Coturnix japonica: one gene and its partners. The protein of the gene in region 1 interacts with the protein of each later gene in a pairwise test. Links are inferred from orthologs where the notes say so. Each region holds a gene or a part of one and is shown in the gene's direction. Other genes may lie near its edges.

Region 1 (3,500 bases):
CCTGCCTGTTAGAAGTAAAATATTTACATTATATACAATTTAGCTTTAAGAAAATGAATCATTACATACAGGGAAATCTATCTTTCCTATAGGAGATTTTTCTAAAGACCCAACAGACACTTTGTTGCTGCTCTATGAATTTGAAGCAAGATCCAAGCTTAATGATCCTACACTCAATAACTTCATGGAGTCAGTATGGGAGCAACCACACGAGATCAAGACACTAGAAATCATTGCATGTAAGGGCTGTATTTGGACTTGCATAGTTCTTCAAGTCATGAGAATCAGCTTATGTTGCTCTTTCCTGTACATTTGAGGTTACTGGGATTATTGTGTATGGTATGGAATGCAGAAAATGAGCTTAATATTGTGTCCCAAAACAAAGACACTTAGGATCTTGGCCGTAATAGGAGATCTACACTTTGAAATGTCACTGCATTACATGGATGATGAACCAGTAATCTGTGATGTCCTTTAATTCCTGTTCTTCTGCTTGTAGTCCTCACTAATGAGTCTACAACAAAGAAGATAGTAGAGAAGCGCTGGCTTGTGACCAGCCCAGGCACCAAGCAAATGCTGACCATGACTAAATGCTAGCTCCAGTCATTTCTTTCTTCTCCATTTAATTAATTTTTAACATTTATTTTATTTTATAGCATTAGCAATGGAACCTCCAGCTCGGTATCCTGTACTGTGTAAGAAAGCTCTGAAGAGTGCACTAAACCTGTACAGAAAGCAAACTACCACTGATGCTGGGAAATTTAGGTTAGTGTTATCACAGAAGTTTGCCATGAGCCCATGGTTTGAACTGTGATAGGGAATAAAACCTTCTGGGAAAAGTGGGTTTTAGCTTATGTTTAAGCTTCCTCTAATTGCTGGCCAACCAATCTACCACTGAAGTGTGACCATCTAACAGGTGTGTTAACTGCAACCTATTTGCTAGGCATGTTTTCTGAAAGTCATATTTACAATAACTGAATCTATTGAGGAAGAAAAGTGGTCTAGAAAGTGTTTCTGTCTGTTTCTTGTTATAGAATTTTTTGTTCCAAATGCTTTTCTGCAGCACTGAAGTAGTGAACTAGAAAATTAAGACAAATTAAAGGCTAAGAAGAAAGCCATGAGGTGTAAGTTAGCAGTAAGATGCTGTAACACATGCACAATGTATTCTACCAGGTAACCAGCTCTGTAACAGCTGTAGCTTGTGGAAACTGAAAAACAACCTGGCGTGTCCTTCTTTCTCAGTTCTGTCTCATAGTGGATGTTTTTTTTCCTTTGTACTAAGTTCTGTGCTGCACCCAGCGGGCAGAGGCAGCCATTGCTTCTCTCTTTCTCTTTTCACACTGGGAAAGAAAGACCTGTTTTCAGAAGCTGTGTATTTGTTACTGGTTTTCTGAGGATGCTGAGTACTAAGCTCTTGTTGGTGAAATGAGAAAAGATCTTCTCTTTTTCCTTGCTGTCATGCATAGCATCCCATGAAAATGCTGCAAGCCCAGCAATTAAAATACAGAAGTACTGCTGCTATTGGGTCTCTTTTTGCACAGCTTGTGTGAGTGAGCTCTGATGCTAGGAATGTGTATGCTCTGCCGTACAGATACGAATGCAGTAAGCACAGAGGTGGAGGTATCAGGATGGCAATCAGAGCGGCACAAGTTAATGTGCTGTTGGTGCCAAAATGTAGTGGTTTGCCCTGTGCTCATGGTATTTAATATTTCCTCTTTCACTCTGTTTTGATTCCCAGCAAATGCTTACATAGTTTGATTAATCTTTCTTTGCCAACTGGAGTGATGGACTTGGATGCCTGTGTACTGCAGGAGGTGTGGGGCTACTTTGAAGATGCTCTGAGTGTAGTCAGCAGCACAGTAAGTTGAGCAGGAAAACAAGGGGCTGGGAAATGATTCTGAGCACATTTAAAACATTTTTTTTTTTTCCCATCAAATTGAGAATAATTAGTAGGTAAAACATTAGACAGTGTTATATATGAAGCAGCCGAGACTTCTTCAGTAAAAGATGCACCTCAGTATAAACGGTTTGTGGATATTTATAACTGCACTATGATTTTTTCTTCATTTTGTAAGGGCTTCTTTAGAGATATTTAAGGCCAAGTTTCAATGAAGTATGTGATAACTCTGAAAGAATTGTCCCTTACGTAGGGGGAAAAAAAAGCATCACTGTTCTCCTATTCTGTTCGCTACTCCAGGGTAGTTACCCAGAGATGGAGATCCTTTGGTTGATGACAAGAGCCTGGAACACAGGAATATTTCAGTATACCATTGGTAAATATCAGGAAGCAGAGCAGTGGTGTGGATTAGGAATGCGTTTCCTCAATCATTTAGGATCCCTGAAGAAAAGCTATGAGGGCCATGTAAGTGTAAGCAAATGGAAATAAGAATGAAAGTGGGTGTCTGGGCTGAATGTGGTCAGTTGTGGAGGGGAGGAAGTGAGATTTTGTTGTGAGGGTGTGGATCTGAGTGAAGAAACCATTACTGGTGGCTTAAAGGTTTTCAGGAGCAGCTTGACACCTGCACAGAATTATAGAATGGCTTGGGTTGGAAAGGACCTCAAGGGTCATGAAGCCCCACATGCAGGGCCACCATCCTCCATATCTAATACTAAACCAGGCTGCCCTGGGCTTCATCCGACCTGGCCTTGCATATTTTGAGGGAACCAAAATTGATTTTTTCCAAGTCAGGCCAGAATAGGTTTGATGCACAGCAGAAGGAGTAATGCAGAGTCATTTTACTGACAGGACTGCACAGCTGGCTGAGTGGAACTAGATGTGAGGCTAGTTGTGACCATTCCTTGTACCTTGCCTGATCTCACTGAGGGCAGGGTGCTGTACCAGTTTCCTTAAATCACCTGTTGCATGAATATTTTCAAGCTTGTTCTTTAGTCTGTGGGGGAGAAATTTCACAGCTACAGCCTCTGCAGAAAGCAGCAATGCTTCTTCTTACATCAAGTAAGCTGCTCTCTGCAGTGTTTTGGCTGGTACTCCTGTCTTGATTGCAGCACAGTACAGCCTGGCTGCTGTGTGTAGTCATGGTTTATTCTCTTACGTACAAGACAATCAATCAGGAGCTGGTTGCAACCTTTGTATTATTTTAAGCACATCGGTTAATGCTGGCGAACCTGAAGGCAAAAGGTCAATGAGCTCAAACAACCACACACCAATATAGTTAAATATAGCTGCGTCCATTTATTGCCCGAAAAGCCATACTTTTATAGCAGACAGACAAGGGCGTCCAAAAATCACACACGCTAATTGGAGGAAAGCTACTGCAATAACAACCCTAAAACCCCCCTTCAAAGCCACGAGCCATTCATTCTTTTCCTAGAGGTGTCCTTGGTTCTCATGCTGTTTATCCTGCTCCGCAGCTGCTGCTCTGTGAAGTCCTTATCTTGATCCATGGCTGCTGCTCTGTAAAATTCTTCTTGTATTACAACAGGCTAGTACAATAAGAGCAGGTTTATTAATTGATATAAAACTCAGCCATAAGCTGTGC
Region 2 (4,208 bases), on another chromosome or scaffold:
AGAGTATCACGTTTCAGCCTACTATCAGCAAGCCTGGGCTTCAAAGTGTTCTTTAACAAACCCTTTGTAATTAGTCCTTGGATCCCTCGGAGCACAGATAGGGCATACTGAAACATCAACTATTCCTGTAGCACGGGGATTCACAGGTTGGGCTTATTTATTGCTATGCATTACAGTGGTGTAAATACACATAACAGCACAGCCTTTCCTCCAAAATACATGAGGTTTAAGCAGAGGAGAGCTAGATCTTGATACAGAAAACACCAATCCTTTTGCTTTTCAGGAGTTGTAGAGATGCAAGCCTTGTCTTAGCCTTGCCAAGACTGATTTGCACGTACAGAATTTGCTGTCAAAGATGCCCCTTTCTTCCATGGTCTTCCTAAATCATACATCCCCATCTGCCTTCAAACACTCAGAGGAAGTGAAGTGTTCCGATCCAGTCCCTGCTCATATCTGGAGCCAAAAAGGCAAGTTTCCTTCCCTTAGGAAGGTACTGGCCCTTGTGCTCAGGATACCTGCTGAATGATGGCTGGATCCCACACCAGGAGCAATCAGACAGACTGCTTAAGCCCCAACAACACCCACATCCAAGCCAGTTCCTCACTGTCTGCTTGCTGCCTTTCAACCCTGCTTGGCCTTCAAGTTATTATTTCCCTTTCTGAGCCCATCAGACACCTTTATCTCTCCCTGCTGCTTTTAGTCTCTCTGTGTTCCTGCTTGACTTCTGCTTACAGACTCAGATCCTGCTGCCTGCCCATGAATCACAGCCTGCTCTGTCTTACACACCAACATAAAGGCACTAAAGGGAAGAAGAAACACAAAACCCTCTTTTCTCCTTGGTGATCGACGTGACTCTCCTTATCTGTTACATTTAAGAGCAACTTTCCCACAGGATCTTTACATTTAAAGGCTTTCCTCCTTCCTATACGTGAAATCTCACACTGTGGGGGATCTGTGTCAGTGTTATAACTGGCTATTCCACAGCTAATGTGTATATATATATATATATATATATATATATAACATGGTTAATAAGCACAACCTCTTCTCCTGTGGGGTATTTTGAGAACTTGGGTAGAGTCTCACAGCTACTTTTCTCTATGAGGAGGGCAGGCCGCCCACAGCCTGGACATGTTTTCAGTCTCACATACACAGGCCCAGCTGTGAGAGCAGCACAACTACATCCTGCAACAGGGAAAGAAATACGAGGAGGAACACTTTCCACAGCCTCAAGGCAGCTGCTTTTACACACAACGGGGGTGGTGACAGCCGAGGCCCAGCCCCTCAGGGCCCTTAGCCGGGACAAGGCCGCAGCCGCCGTTAGTCTATTGAACGTGCGTATTAGGCGGGGCCTGGTGATTGCCATAGAGACAGCGTCGCTGGGAGCTGGGAGGTGAAAGCAGCCGCCATGAGCTCGGAGCCGAGGCCGGGTCTGCCCTTCCTCCCGGGCTGCTCCTTCAGGGACCCCACGGTGAGCGCAGCCCCTGCTCAGCCCAGCTCTCGGGACCCCTCAGCATCGGTACCCCCAGCCCCCGCCTGGTCTTGAAGGTAGCCCTTGCTGGAGGAGCCCTGTGAGGCTTCTGCACAGCCCAGATGCTATGGGGGACTTTCACTGACCCGTGGTTCCTTGGGGATCCTGGTGTCCTTGTTCACGCTCCCAGGGAACCTGGTACTGTCTCAGACCCTCCTCTAACTCCCCAGTGGACCTGGTATCTCCACATTCACCTTATATCTTCTCAGAGGCCTACCCTAGTCAGCTTGTGGTTTGCCCAGATCACCTCCTAATCCCCACAAGAGGTTGGGTACTTCCTCAATTAATCTGAAATCCCTGGGGGAGCTGGTATCCTGTGGATAACCTGACACCCCAGCTCACCTGATGCCCCTCAGGATATCCACCAAACTGACTCTCAAAGGGCTTGAGATCCTTATAAACTCACCCAAGGGAGCTGAAAACCACTGAACTCTTTGCCCAGGGAAGCTGGTTTTTCTCTAAGCCAACAGCTGCCTGCTGAGCTCACTCACTCCTGGGGGGGGGAATGAACTCTCTGAATCCACTTGCTTCCCCTAACCTCATCCACAGGAGCTCCCTGAGCTGTCCCAAGGCAATTTCAAGTCAAGACAAGTTCCCAGAGCAACAGATATGGCTGAGCCCAGCCTCCTTGGTGCTTTTAAATCCATCCCCAAGATGCCATTGCATCTTGCACCCATCTGATGTCCCCTTAAACTGCCCCAAAACAGAACCACTATCTGCAGACTTAACCCTGGGGATCTAGTACTCATGAATCCATTTTTTAGTTGCCCTGCCAATTCATATGGTACCAAAAGGGGAGCAGCACTCTAAAACTGACTTTATAAACAGGCAGACCACTTCTGAACCACCTCAGTTATGTGTTCTGTTTCCTTTGTGGCTCTGGACAGCCTGGTCTAGTGGCTGGCAATCCTGCACATAGCAGCGGGGTTGGAACTAGGTGGTCATTGTGATCCTTTTCAACCCAGGCCATTCTATGATTCTATGAACTTACTTCTCATTCTGGTACTGCCCTGAACCAGGACCCATACAGTCACCTGATTCTTCCATAGATGCCTTCCTTGTATTGCCTGGAGAATTTAATGCTTGATAGACCATATGAAACTGATGCTCTGGAACCTGAGAACTGAGAGTCTGGTCAGAGAACTGGTATCCCTCCACTGAGCTGATACCATTGCAGCCTCCAGAATTCTCAAGGAAGTGAAACTTCTCAGCTGTACTCACACTCCTTGGAAGAAGTAGACTCATCCTCTGCATTTGAATAGATACCTAAATAAGGAAGCAAGCTTTCCTTTTCCCCACTCACAATGGTCAACAAGGTGAGGATCTGGTAACCTCAAATCCTCCCAATATCCTCTTGCAAAAGCAAGATGAAAAGCAATACACCCTGAGTTCCTTCTAGTGCTGTTTTAGAGCAGCTGACAATTTGCATTTCCTTCTCCATGGGAAGTTAATATCTCAGATCTTGATACTGTTACTCATCTTCAACTCAGTGCTACTATAATTGCAGTTTTAGAAGCCAAAGTCTTTGAATTTTCCTGACTGCTTTGCTCAGAAGCTCACAAACTTCGGTAGGAAATGGATACAGCAGGGCATGCCTGATGTCTCTGTGGAACCTAATAGCTTTAAGAATGGGCTCCCAGTACCTAGAAAGGCCTCACTATGCTCCGGTATTGCAGGATAAGGAACATCATGCGCTTGCATCTGATCCTTGTTATGTGGGGCATGCTCCATTGCAAAACAAACAGACAAAAATCTTGGGGCATGTCTTTGATATTCCTGTTGAAAACTAACCCTTCCAGGGCAAGACCTTCTATGTCATCCTGATACCTCTTGTAGATCCTTCTCCACAAAAGAAAGACCATTGTACTAACACAGCCCTCGCTTTGGGATAAAGGATAAACCTTCTCAAGGGATGGTGAGCCCCACTGCAGGTCAGTCAAAGTTCTATCCATATCACAGAGCCTCTTAACTTCCACTGTACCAACCCCAGCGGTGCCTTCCAGCACAAACAGTCACACTGTTTTCTAAGTCAGTGACGACTGAGTTTTCAACAGTAAATGGAGTCATTCACTCATAACAAATACTCTCAATCGTGCAGTTATAAAGGTTATCTCAGCATTATTCTCAGTAACCACTTGGAAATTTACAATGCAAATCTCTGCCCCTAGCAAAATATTATTTCTTCTATCAGCAAAACCCCACCTGCTTTAGTCATGTGCGTGCTTCTACTGACATCAGTGGCGCTGTGTGCAGAAGAAACACCCAGAGGATTTAGCAGATCAGATTGTTATTTCAGAGTAACTGGAAGTATTGCCCTACTGGTGATGTTTAAGTCGATCTGCACTCCAGAAATGTCTTTGCAATGTTGCTCAGTGAGTGTTATCACCTCACTTTGCCTCTATGTTCCAGCCTATAAAATGATCAGCAAGATACTTGTTTTCTATGTGAATTTGGAGACATGCTGTAAAAAAACCTCTGCATTCAGATAAGATAACGTAGTTAGTTACTGGTTATTCAGATGCACTCTAACGAACTGAGACCCTGGGAGGAGAAGCAGTGTTTATATGAAGCTCTACAGACATGGCAAGAAATACTTAATTCAGTAGCATTTCTCCAATATGGGCTGGCAGCAACTGAGATTAGGAGTTTACATTCTGGGTTTTCCCTTTCAGTTTTG
Region 3 (4,251 bases), on another chromosome or scaffold:
GCTCCCCGAAGAGTGGGATGAAATAACCCTGAGGTTCATCAACAGCTTAAAGGAGAAGAAGAGCGAGGATCACGCCGACGACATCACAGACTCCAGTGTACACATGAGAAGCAGAAGTAGAGCCAATGGCACAGTGTCTATACCACTAGCTTAGGGCTGGTGGACTGTACTGCACGCAGATGTATATTCTGTGAATATAGCTTAAATTTCCTCACTCCTTGTATGCTTAAAAATGCCATTTACTCTGAACTGGGTATGAGTTGTAAGATAAGAGAGCTAGATCTATAATAAATGTTTACATTTATACACTTACCAAGGAAAGGGTGTAAATAACCACAATAAAATGTTTTCTAATTAAAAACAAACAAACAAAACCAAAGGTTTAAGCTTTTGTGTTACTGAACCCAATGATGCTGAGCTTCACCACAAAGCCCAGGAACTTCTGGAGCCTTCTGAACCACCAGCACCTTTGGGAAATGGCAGATCCCATTTCTTACAGCATTTCATTGGTCCGAGCGATTGTTCTTCTCATCCACCACAGTGAAAAACCTTTCAAAAGCCAAAGGAAACCAACCCGGCCTTCTTGTCTTCCCTCTCTTGTCATCATGTAACATAGGGAAGCTGTGACCCAATATACCCAGGATCAGTCACACTTATGGCTGAATGGGCACCACCCTAGATAGGTTTTGGGGTTGATGCATTCATTTACACCAACAGAGAGCTGTAGAGATGTGTTATACTGAAAATCCAGCTCCTGCCAATGCAAACACACAGGGAAAATAAGTACTTATTTCCTTTCAGCATGCGCTGACGTGTGTGTTTTGGCACACAGCCTCATGGCAGCATCTTCAAGCCCAGAACTGGATCCTTCAAGGAACCTCTTTAAATATTCAAGGAAAATAATGTGAAATCCAGGGCTGTCCTGCACAGCCGTGCTGCTGATCAATATAGAATCAGTAAGGCTGGAAAAGCCCTCCCAGATTCCCAAACTCACCCCCCCCCCCATGCCCACTGCCCATGTCCCTCAGTGCCCCATCTCTATGGTCCTTGAACCTCTCCAAGGATGGTGACACCAGCCCTCCCTGGGCAGCTGTGCCACTGCATCGCTGCTCTTTTGAAGAATGAATGTTTCCTAATATCCAACCTGAATCTTGGCTTTGATGTTTTAAGTGATAAACCTCGTTTTACTTCCAGCAATGCCACTACAAGAGCTAAAGCAAGGGTAGGGGTGCTTTTTGTACTCCTGGTGAGGCTCTGGAGATGCTGTGACACTTTGAGTACTCCGAGCATCAAATTTCTTTCCAAAGACTGAAGGTTTAGCAGAAGAACCACTGGTAGAAATGCCTCCAGCTCAACCAGCTGAGGCGGTGCTGCTGAAAGTTGTGTGAAGGTAAAAACAAAGCAGTGGCTGGAGCCGTGTCAATGTTTAACCCTGCTGGGGAGGGCACCTGAGTGCATTTGGCAATGGGATCCCACTCTGGGCTCGGCATTACAGCCCTGCTTTCAGAGCGGGCTTTTCCTTCTTCCCAAGCTCTACAAAATGGGCCTCAGCTCTTCCAAGACGCACCCCAGGGTGACCCAAGTGGCACCGATGCGCAGCAATGAGGAGGTGATGGGGGAGCCCAGCCTGCACCCAACAGCCACAACGGAGCATGGACATCCCATAACCCACGGGCAGCTCCCACCCCTCCGCCAGACCGGGTATGGGAGACCCTCCACAGGTATGGGGAAAGGGGGGGAGGCCTTTCCAAGCAACTGTTTCCCTCCCCAGAGCCTTTGGGGATGGACTCAGAGCTCATCTCACGGCATCCCTGCAGTGCCAGACACAGCATTCATATCGCAACCCCATAACGTGCACCGCTGGGCACAGCCATATCATTACCTTAATTAGAGTTAGACTTTAATTAGATGTGAAATTCGGCATTAAAATAAATCAGAGCCCCACAGCACCAGGCTGACTCCACTAGCAAGAAGCAGAAGAAGGCGAGTCCCACTGCAATGTGCTGCGCCCCAGATGTCCCATACCCAAACCCAGAGGTGAAGGAGAAGGTTTGTGCCCACCCGGAGCTGGGACACAAGGACTGTCTGTGGAGGGACAGCAGGGTGCTGTGACAGCACACAAAGCTTTGGTGTGATAGTGATCTGGGGTCAACAGATTGGGTCTGGGGGTACCACAGCCCCCATCAGGGGACCTCCTGCTTTACTTTTAACACCAACACAATGCCCTCTCCCCTGTCTCCCTGTGCCATTGCCCAGCCCATTATCCCCAAATCCCCTCCTGTGAGGCCGAGATGTGGGAGTTCAATGACTCACATGGAATGGCATTCAGACACCGCAGGGCAGGTCTGGGGAGGACAGAGAAGCTGTAACAGTTACTGTGCATGTCTAATTGTGCAAGCAATAACACAACACTGCACACCCAGGAGGAGCTGCACAGCGCAAAGCTCAGGGCAGGTTGAGCTCAGTTATAGAACTGCCTTAATAAGTAACAGCCCACAGCTCCATCAGGTGCTCAGAGTCCCATCCAGCCTGACCTTGGGCATCTGAAGGGATGGGGCACCACCACCTCTCTGGGAAGAACGCTGGGAGAAATGAGGGTGGGACACACCAAGCAAAAAAATAGGGCAGAAAGAAAGCTATAGTAGAGTACAGCCCAAAAAGTGACTTCGCCTTTCTGACCCCTCAGGGCCCCTTGACTTCAACACTGTGCCGGAGAATGGAGCCAGCAGCATCATCAAGCTGCACCCACCTCGGCGACCACAGGTAGGGTGAATGTATGAAGGTTCACATGGGGCTGCTCTGCTCGGCCAGGGGGCAGGGAAGCAAACAAACATCCTGCTCTCCAACATGGGACGTGAGCAATGCACGATCCGGGCTGCAGCTTGTGGTGTCACATGCTGCCATCTAGTGCCATGTTTTACGGCTTCATGATCAGCTTTGTGATATTTAAGAGATACACGGATGTGGCACTATGGGACATGTTTTATTGGTGGACTTGGTAGTGTTATGTTGATAGTTGGACTTGATGGTCTTAAATCTCTTTCCCAAATAGAGCCTGGGATTCTATGATGTTCCTTTTAATGTTTATGGAAGCCAGGCTGAGCTCCCATCACAGGTGGGGAAATGAGGAGTATATTTGAGATGAGAAGTGAGCCAGTGTTATCTGGGTGGTTGAAGGGAACATCTTAGCTCATTGAGATGGACATCCATTCTCAGAGCAGCCTGTAAAGCTGCTGAACTCCATCAGGAAGGACTCTTCATACCACATGCAAAGTAAGGTCTTAGCCACCAAAAGAGTCTGGCTGGATGGACGGGTTGGTTCTCAGGGCCAGGTAAGCAGGTTCTGGCCTCGTATGTCCTGCCAGGAGATGCTGTATTCAATTATGACACTGATGTGTGTTGCTGAAGGTACCAAACTCCTTTTTGTATCCCAAGCAACCAGACCAGAATTGGAGCTGTAAAAATGTCTAGGTAACTTCATATCAGGTTTGGTGTTTGTGTAGTAGGAGGAATGCTGAACACTAAATATTGCACTTGCAGAGGCTCGAACCTGCCGGCACTCCAAGGGGGGTCACTACTGTAAAGCCCTGGAGCTACCAAGGGATGGATGGAGCCCCAAAAGCCAAGGTGAGCACACAGCAAAGGGCCAAGAGCTGTGCAGCAGGCACAACCTCACCGACCATGTACAGCTCCTGATATCAGCCTGAACAAAGCAGAGCAGCAGCACCTTGGGGGCAGGCACTGGCATACATGACTTTAATGATGAGTTTCCATCGTGCCCCTCAGCTGTGAGATAGATAAACTGTGAGTGCTTTGAAAACCTGCACTAAATTACTGCACGTTAACCAGGCAGGAAAATGCTCACTGCCTTCATCTGAGCAGCACCTGAGGGACTGGGTGTGGGTTGGCAAACAGGAGTTCCTTTTCATTTTAGCCAATGCAGGTGTCTTTACTGATGCTTTTCATACCTCACAGACACTGGACAAGAGGGGGCAGAGCCTGAGAGCCCCCCCTGGCAGGCGGCAGCACTTGCACAAGATGCAGATGCTGGACTTGATGCGCCAGCGCCGAGAGGTAACACAGGGATGGCTCTGGGGAGAGGTGGAGGATTGGAAGGGTTTCCTCATCTCTTTGTCTCCCCTATGGGTGAGGAAGTTCCCATGGGGTCTCGTTCTGTCTTGTGCTTGTTTTGGCAAATATGATTTGCCCTGGTTGAGCTACAGGGTTGTGTGATTACTTGTAGTGCCAGCT
Region 4 (4,256 bases), on another chromosome or scaffold:
TATTGCCTTCCTACTTCCATAAAGAAATACAAGATATACTTAAAAACAACAGGTTGGTAACAGACCTAATATGGAAATATTCCTTAGTAACTGCATCAAGAGGATTGTGAGCCTGGGATACTCAACTGATGAGTAATTAGGAGAGAGAACTGTGTTGAGAGGATGGGTATATCACAGTGTGTATTTTACCAACAAGGTGCGTGTTTTCTGTCTTGCCATAAGAGAGTGTGCCTCTGCCACTGCTATTGCAAATCAAACATGCTGCTTCACTTAGGTTCTTGCTGGAGTCAAACTTACTGACTGGAGTGTTTCTCACACTTGTTTGCAAAGACATCTCCCAGATCATTCCCTAATGTTTGCGTGCTTCTCACTGATGTGGTGACTTTGTTGTTTTTCCTGCTGAACGGCAGAAATTTAAGAACTATTAAGTGCTTTCCCCACAGTTGTGCAATGTCAGGTCCCAGAGGCACACAGACTGGTGCGTGTTGTTAACCCCATGGAAAGTATGAGTGGTCCCACTCACCACAGCTCATCCCAGTCTGCACAGAACTTAGCACCAAAGGGTGCGTGCTGCGAATGCAAACAACCTTTTCCTGAAATACAGGCCATGCAGGGTCACAGAGCCACGCACCATGACGCTGGCAGGGCGCTGCCCATTGTGGTCAATGCTGAGGGCAAATTAACATCATGGACCCGTACAATTGTTTGAGTTGGATAAGACCATTAAAGGTCACGTAGTCTAACCTGCCGGCAATGAACAGGGACACCCACAGGTGCTCAGAGCCTGGTCCAGCCTGACCTAGGACGTCTCCAAGGATGGTGCATCCACCATCTCTCTGGGCAACCTGCTCCAGAGCCTCACCACCCTTACTGTACAAAACTGCTTCCTTACATCCTTATCCATATCTCCCCTCTAAGTCTGAAATAATCTCCCCTTGTCCTGTCACAACAGACCCTGCTGAAAAGTCTTTCTCACAGCCCCCTTCCGCGTTAAGAAAGGGGGACGATTTTTTCACATGAAGAAACTCCGGTTTGTTTCTTCTTTAGGCTGTGGATGTGGAGATGCACGCTGGGCCACATCTAGAGCGTGCTTCACCCTACATCGCCGCCCTGAGACAGCACTCGGGGCTCTGCGGCCGCCACCTGAGCGGCGGTTGTGTCTCTGACGGCCGTTGTGTCTCTCCCGGCAGTTATACCCCCCGCCCCGTGTTCCCATCACGCTGACAGGGCCGCACCGCCCCCTCCCGATAACGGCCGCACTAACGGCCTCACTGGCGCCGCTCGATCCCTCCGCCAGGGGCGCGCTCCGCCCCGTCTCTCCCCGCTTGACCCGCGCGAGGCGCCGTAGCTCGAACGGGACCGCGGGCGGGCGGTCCGGGGGCGGCGGGATGCGGGTGGCGGCGCGGCCGTTGGGGGCGGCTGCTGGGCGGCGCGGGCGGGCGGACGCTCGGCCCGGAACGGCCGCGGTGCCGGGAGGGCGATCCCCCGCTTCTGGCCGAGGCCGGCGAGCGCGGAGCCGCCCCCTTCGCCGCCGCCGCTGAGGGAGCGGCCCCCGCCTCCGCCCCGCCCGCGGGGGCGGCTCGCACGGCGGCCCCTCCTCGGGGAGGCCGGCTGCATGGGCGAGCGCTGCGGGACGCCGAGGTCGCCGGCCTCGCCGCTGCCGGGCGCCAGGTAGGCGAAGCTGCGGGCGGAGCGGGGCTCGGGGTCGCGGTGGTGGGAGGCTCCGCCGTCCCTCAGCTCGCTCCTTCTCCGTCGTCCCCCCGCCCCCATTTCGCACGGAAGCCGGGAGGGTGATTTGCCGCAGGCTTTGCCCCGGTGTCTCCGGCCGGCTCCGGGGGTGTGTGGCGGGGAGGGATTTGGCTGGAGCTCAGCATCAGTTCCTCGAGCCCCTCGATGAGCGGAGCAGCGGGGATGGGGGCTGTCACGTACCTTTATTACCGGGTATCGCCCGTTCCCTGTGCACACCTAAAGCGGAGCTCAATTTGTGGGAGTTAAAAAGTCCCTCACATTTATTCTCTGCGCTTAATAACCGAGTGCGGCATTGTGCTGCTGGGCTGCAGAGCCCGAGGTGGGGCCAACGTGTCTCGAGCGAAAGCAAGGGGCTGATGGACAGACCTCATAGCGACTGATAGCGGAGCGCTACCAGAGGGTAGCCGTCTGCTGGTTCGAATTGCTTTAAATCTGCTAATTGATAGTAAAGGAAGGATAATCTTTTGTGAAAGCCTCTGAGAAGGAATAATTCTGCAGCCACCCTCGTTATTAGATCTTTCATTTGGCATTTCTTGCAAATAATGAAGCTTAAAAAATCTTGCAGATATCTTACTGACCCTCGAGTGCATCTTTCAGTTTAGGTTACTGCTGATTTGATCCTCTGGAATCTGCAGAAGGAAGGTCAGCCAGCCGCTGTGAATAGCCGAGTAACAGGAGTGGAGCTCTGGAGCAGGATTGCCGAGAGATGTGTGAACACGCATAAGCACAGCTGAGCTGTCGAGTATTTCTGCCTCAGACCTGGGCTTGTTCCCCAGGCACGGTTTGCGTGGGGTGTAAGTGTCTCCTGATACCTGGAGATGATGTCGGTTGAAGGGTCTACAATAACAAGTCGGATCAAAAACCTCCTTCGCTCCCCTTCCATTAAGCTGAGAAGAAGCAAGCCTGGGAGCAAGCGTGAAGATATAGGCAATAAGGTGAGTGTTGCTTGGTGATACCAGCTTGCTTTAACTTTGTTACCTGCAGTCCCATCTGTACTGAAAATACCTCTGTGGGAGACCTGGGGCGACCAGAGTATCTGATACATGCCTTTTAGTTGGGAGCTTTGGGCAGGGTCTATTCATGCTGGATGTGACTGGAAGTACCCAGTCTGAAGTCATGGTGTATTGGAAAGCATTTAGGTTTTTCCTCATTCTAGCATATGGAGTTGTTATGGATGACTGGCAGGAGGAATGTAATGCTGTCCCTTCCTCCATGTTCCCAACTGCAATCTGGTGTTACAGGCAACTAACAAGAAACAGAGACCTGTTTTTCCATGTAAGCCATGTCTCTTTGCTCCACAAAGGTGTGTTCTTTGAGCACCTGGGGAAGGGTGGGATGCTCTGAAAGATGAGATTTGTGTCTCTGAAGTGACTGTTCAGATGGGGGTTTGCATTCTGCCATCCTGAATGTGCTTTTCTTCCATCTTTTTTCTCTGCTTTGATTCAGACTAAGCTCTCCCTTCTCTAGGGGGCGCTTAGTTTGAGGTGTAGTTGATCCTGTATAAAAAATTGTGGCTCCTCTTGGTGTTGCAGAGGATTCCTGACAGACAGTCACTGTTGTCATGAGGAGAGGAGGATGACTTCTCTCCAGCTGTGGGTAGAAGAGGAGCTGGGTGGCATTTCCTTATGCTGACAGCAGGCACATCTGAGTCAGGGCACCTGGTTTTGTCCCTGCCACTGATTCATTTGTAACCCCGGGCAAATCACCCAGTGCTTGCATTGCTCCATCTCCATAAATAGAAAGATTAATCCCTCCCCAGTAATAAATAAGAAATGCTTATAATACGTGAATGCAAAGTGCATTTGTTTGTCTCAGGACAGTAGTGCTTGGGACGTTAGCCGCTGGAGTAAGGGATGTATGTAAAACTGCAGGGGAAAGAGAAAACTCTGTTTAAAGGGCCTGTCCCAGCACGAAACCCTGCTCTTGATGCTCTGCTTCTGATTGGAAGTTCCTGGAGATGGCTCTTTTTTACTGAGGCGCACCATGACGTCCTCTCTTGCCACAAAAGAGCTGTCTAGAGGAGAGTCCTTGGTGCTTGTGCCTGGCCTCAGTGTGTGCATGTGCATGCATGCACTGCATGTAATGCAGCCTGGGTGCTGCCAGTGAAACCTGCTTTTTGCCTGTTGCTGAAGAGCAGGTAGTTGACCTGTACTGTAGGAACAGCCCAAAGCCTCCATACTACCATGTACAGGGGCTCTGGGCTCCAGCTCTGTGATAAGGAGCCAAGTTCAGCCTGCTCAGTTTCAGAACTGGGGCTGCTGCTATAAATCCCAGGCCTTCTCTGGTACCTGATTGTTTTTGTTGTTGTTGTTCTGCCTTGCACATATGTTTTGGAAGAGCTCCACTGTATCAGTTCTGCAGTCAGGGCTGTCTTGACTCCCTGGGGACTGATGGATAAATTCCACACTATGAAATTAGGGTTTAAGGGCTGGGTTTTGTGTCTTAGTAGTGTGAGCAGTTAATCAGGGAGTTGGCCGGTAAAAGCAATTCCTCTTGATGAGGTGTTA

Evidence for each region. The genes of interacting proteins can lie anywhere in the genome.
Region 2: the proteins of TEX11 (region 1) and EFHC1 interact in binary tests that used the Homo sapiens proteins (3 or more experiments, as listed by UniProt). The two-hybrid records come from large-scale screens. The link is inferred for Coturnix japonica from reciprocal best matches to the Homo sapiens genes TEX11 and EFHC1.
Region 3: the proteins of TEX11 (region 1) and CCDC198 interact in binary tests that used the Homo sapiens proteins (3 or more experiments, as listed by UniProt). The two-hybrid records come from large-scale screens. The link is inferred for Coturnix japonica from reciprocal best matches to the Homo sapiens genes TEX11 and CCDC198.
Region 4: the proteins of TEX11 (region 1) and MAPKBP1 interact in binary tests that used the Homo sapiens proteins (3 or more experiments, as listed by UniProt). The two-hybrid records come from large-scale screens. The link is inferred for Coturnix japonica from reciprocal best matches to the Homo sapiens genes TEX11 and MAPKBP1.

What each region holds. Positions count from the first base shown.
Region 1 is NC_029519.1:2,416,683-2,420,182, forward strand, and holds part of TEX11 (testis-expressed protein 11), read left to right. Parts: intron 1-92; coding exon 93-239; intron 240-656; coding exon 657-765; intron 766-1,738; coding exon 1,739-1,859; intron 1,860-2,197; coding exon 2,198-2,362; intron 2,363-3,500. UniProt on the Homo sapiens protein: Regulator of crossing-over during meiosis. Involved in initiation and/or maintenance of chromosome synapsis and formation of crossovers.
Region 2 is NC_029518.1:98,073,305-98,077,512, reverse strand, and holds the start of EFHC1 (EF-hand domain-containing protein 1), read left to right. Parts: upstream 1-1,408; coding exon 1,409-1,471; intron 1,472-2,572; exon of another isoform or gene 2,573-2,835; coding exon of another isoform or gene 2,836-2,847; intron 2,848-4,208. UniProt on the Homo sapiens protein: Microtubule inner protein (MIP) part of the dynein-decorated doublet microtubules (DMTs) in cilia axoneme, which is required for motile cilia beating.
Region 3 is NC_029520.1:50,440,252-50,444,502, forward strand, and holds the start of CCDC198 (uncharacterized protein CCDC198), read left to right. Parts: upstream 1-1,451; 5' UTR 1,452-1,540; coding exon 1,541-1,721; intron 1,722-2,686; coding exon 2,687-2,763; intron 2,764-3,540; coding exon 3,541-3,627; intron 3,628-3,975; coding exon 3,976-4,074; intron 4,075-4,251. Other genes in the region: SLC35F4 (solute carrier family 35 member F4), read left to right, coding at 1-154. UniProt on the Homo sapiens protein: May be involved in tuning the metabolism, energy expenditure, and excretion processes.
Region 4 is NC_029520.1:22,413,099-22,417,354, forward strand, and holds the start of MAPKBP1 (mitogen-activated protein kinase-binding protein 1), read left to right. Parts: upstream 1-1,456; 5' UTR 1,457-1,671; intron 1,672-2,346; 5' UTR 2,347-2,567; coding exon 2,568-2,684; intron 2,685-4,256. UniProt on the Homo sapiens protein: Negative regulator of NOD2 function. It down-regulates NOD2-induced processes such as activation of NF-kappa-B signaling, IL8 secretion and antibacterial response. Involved in JNK signaling pathway.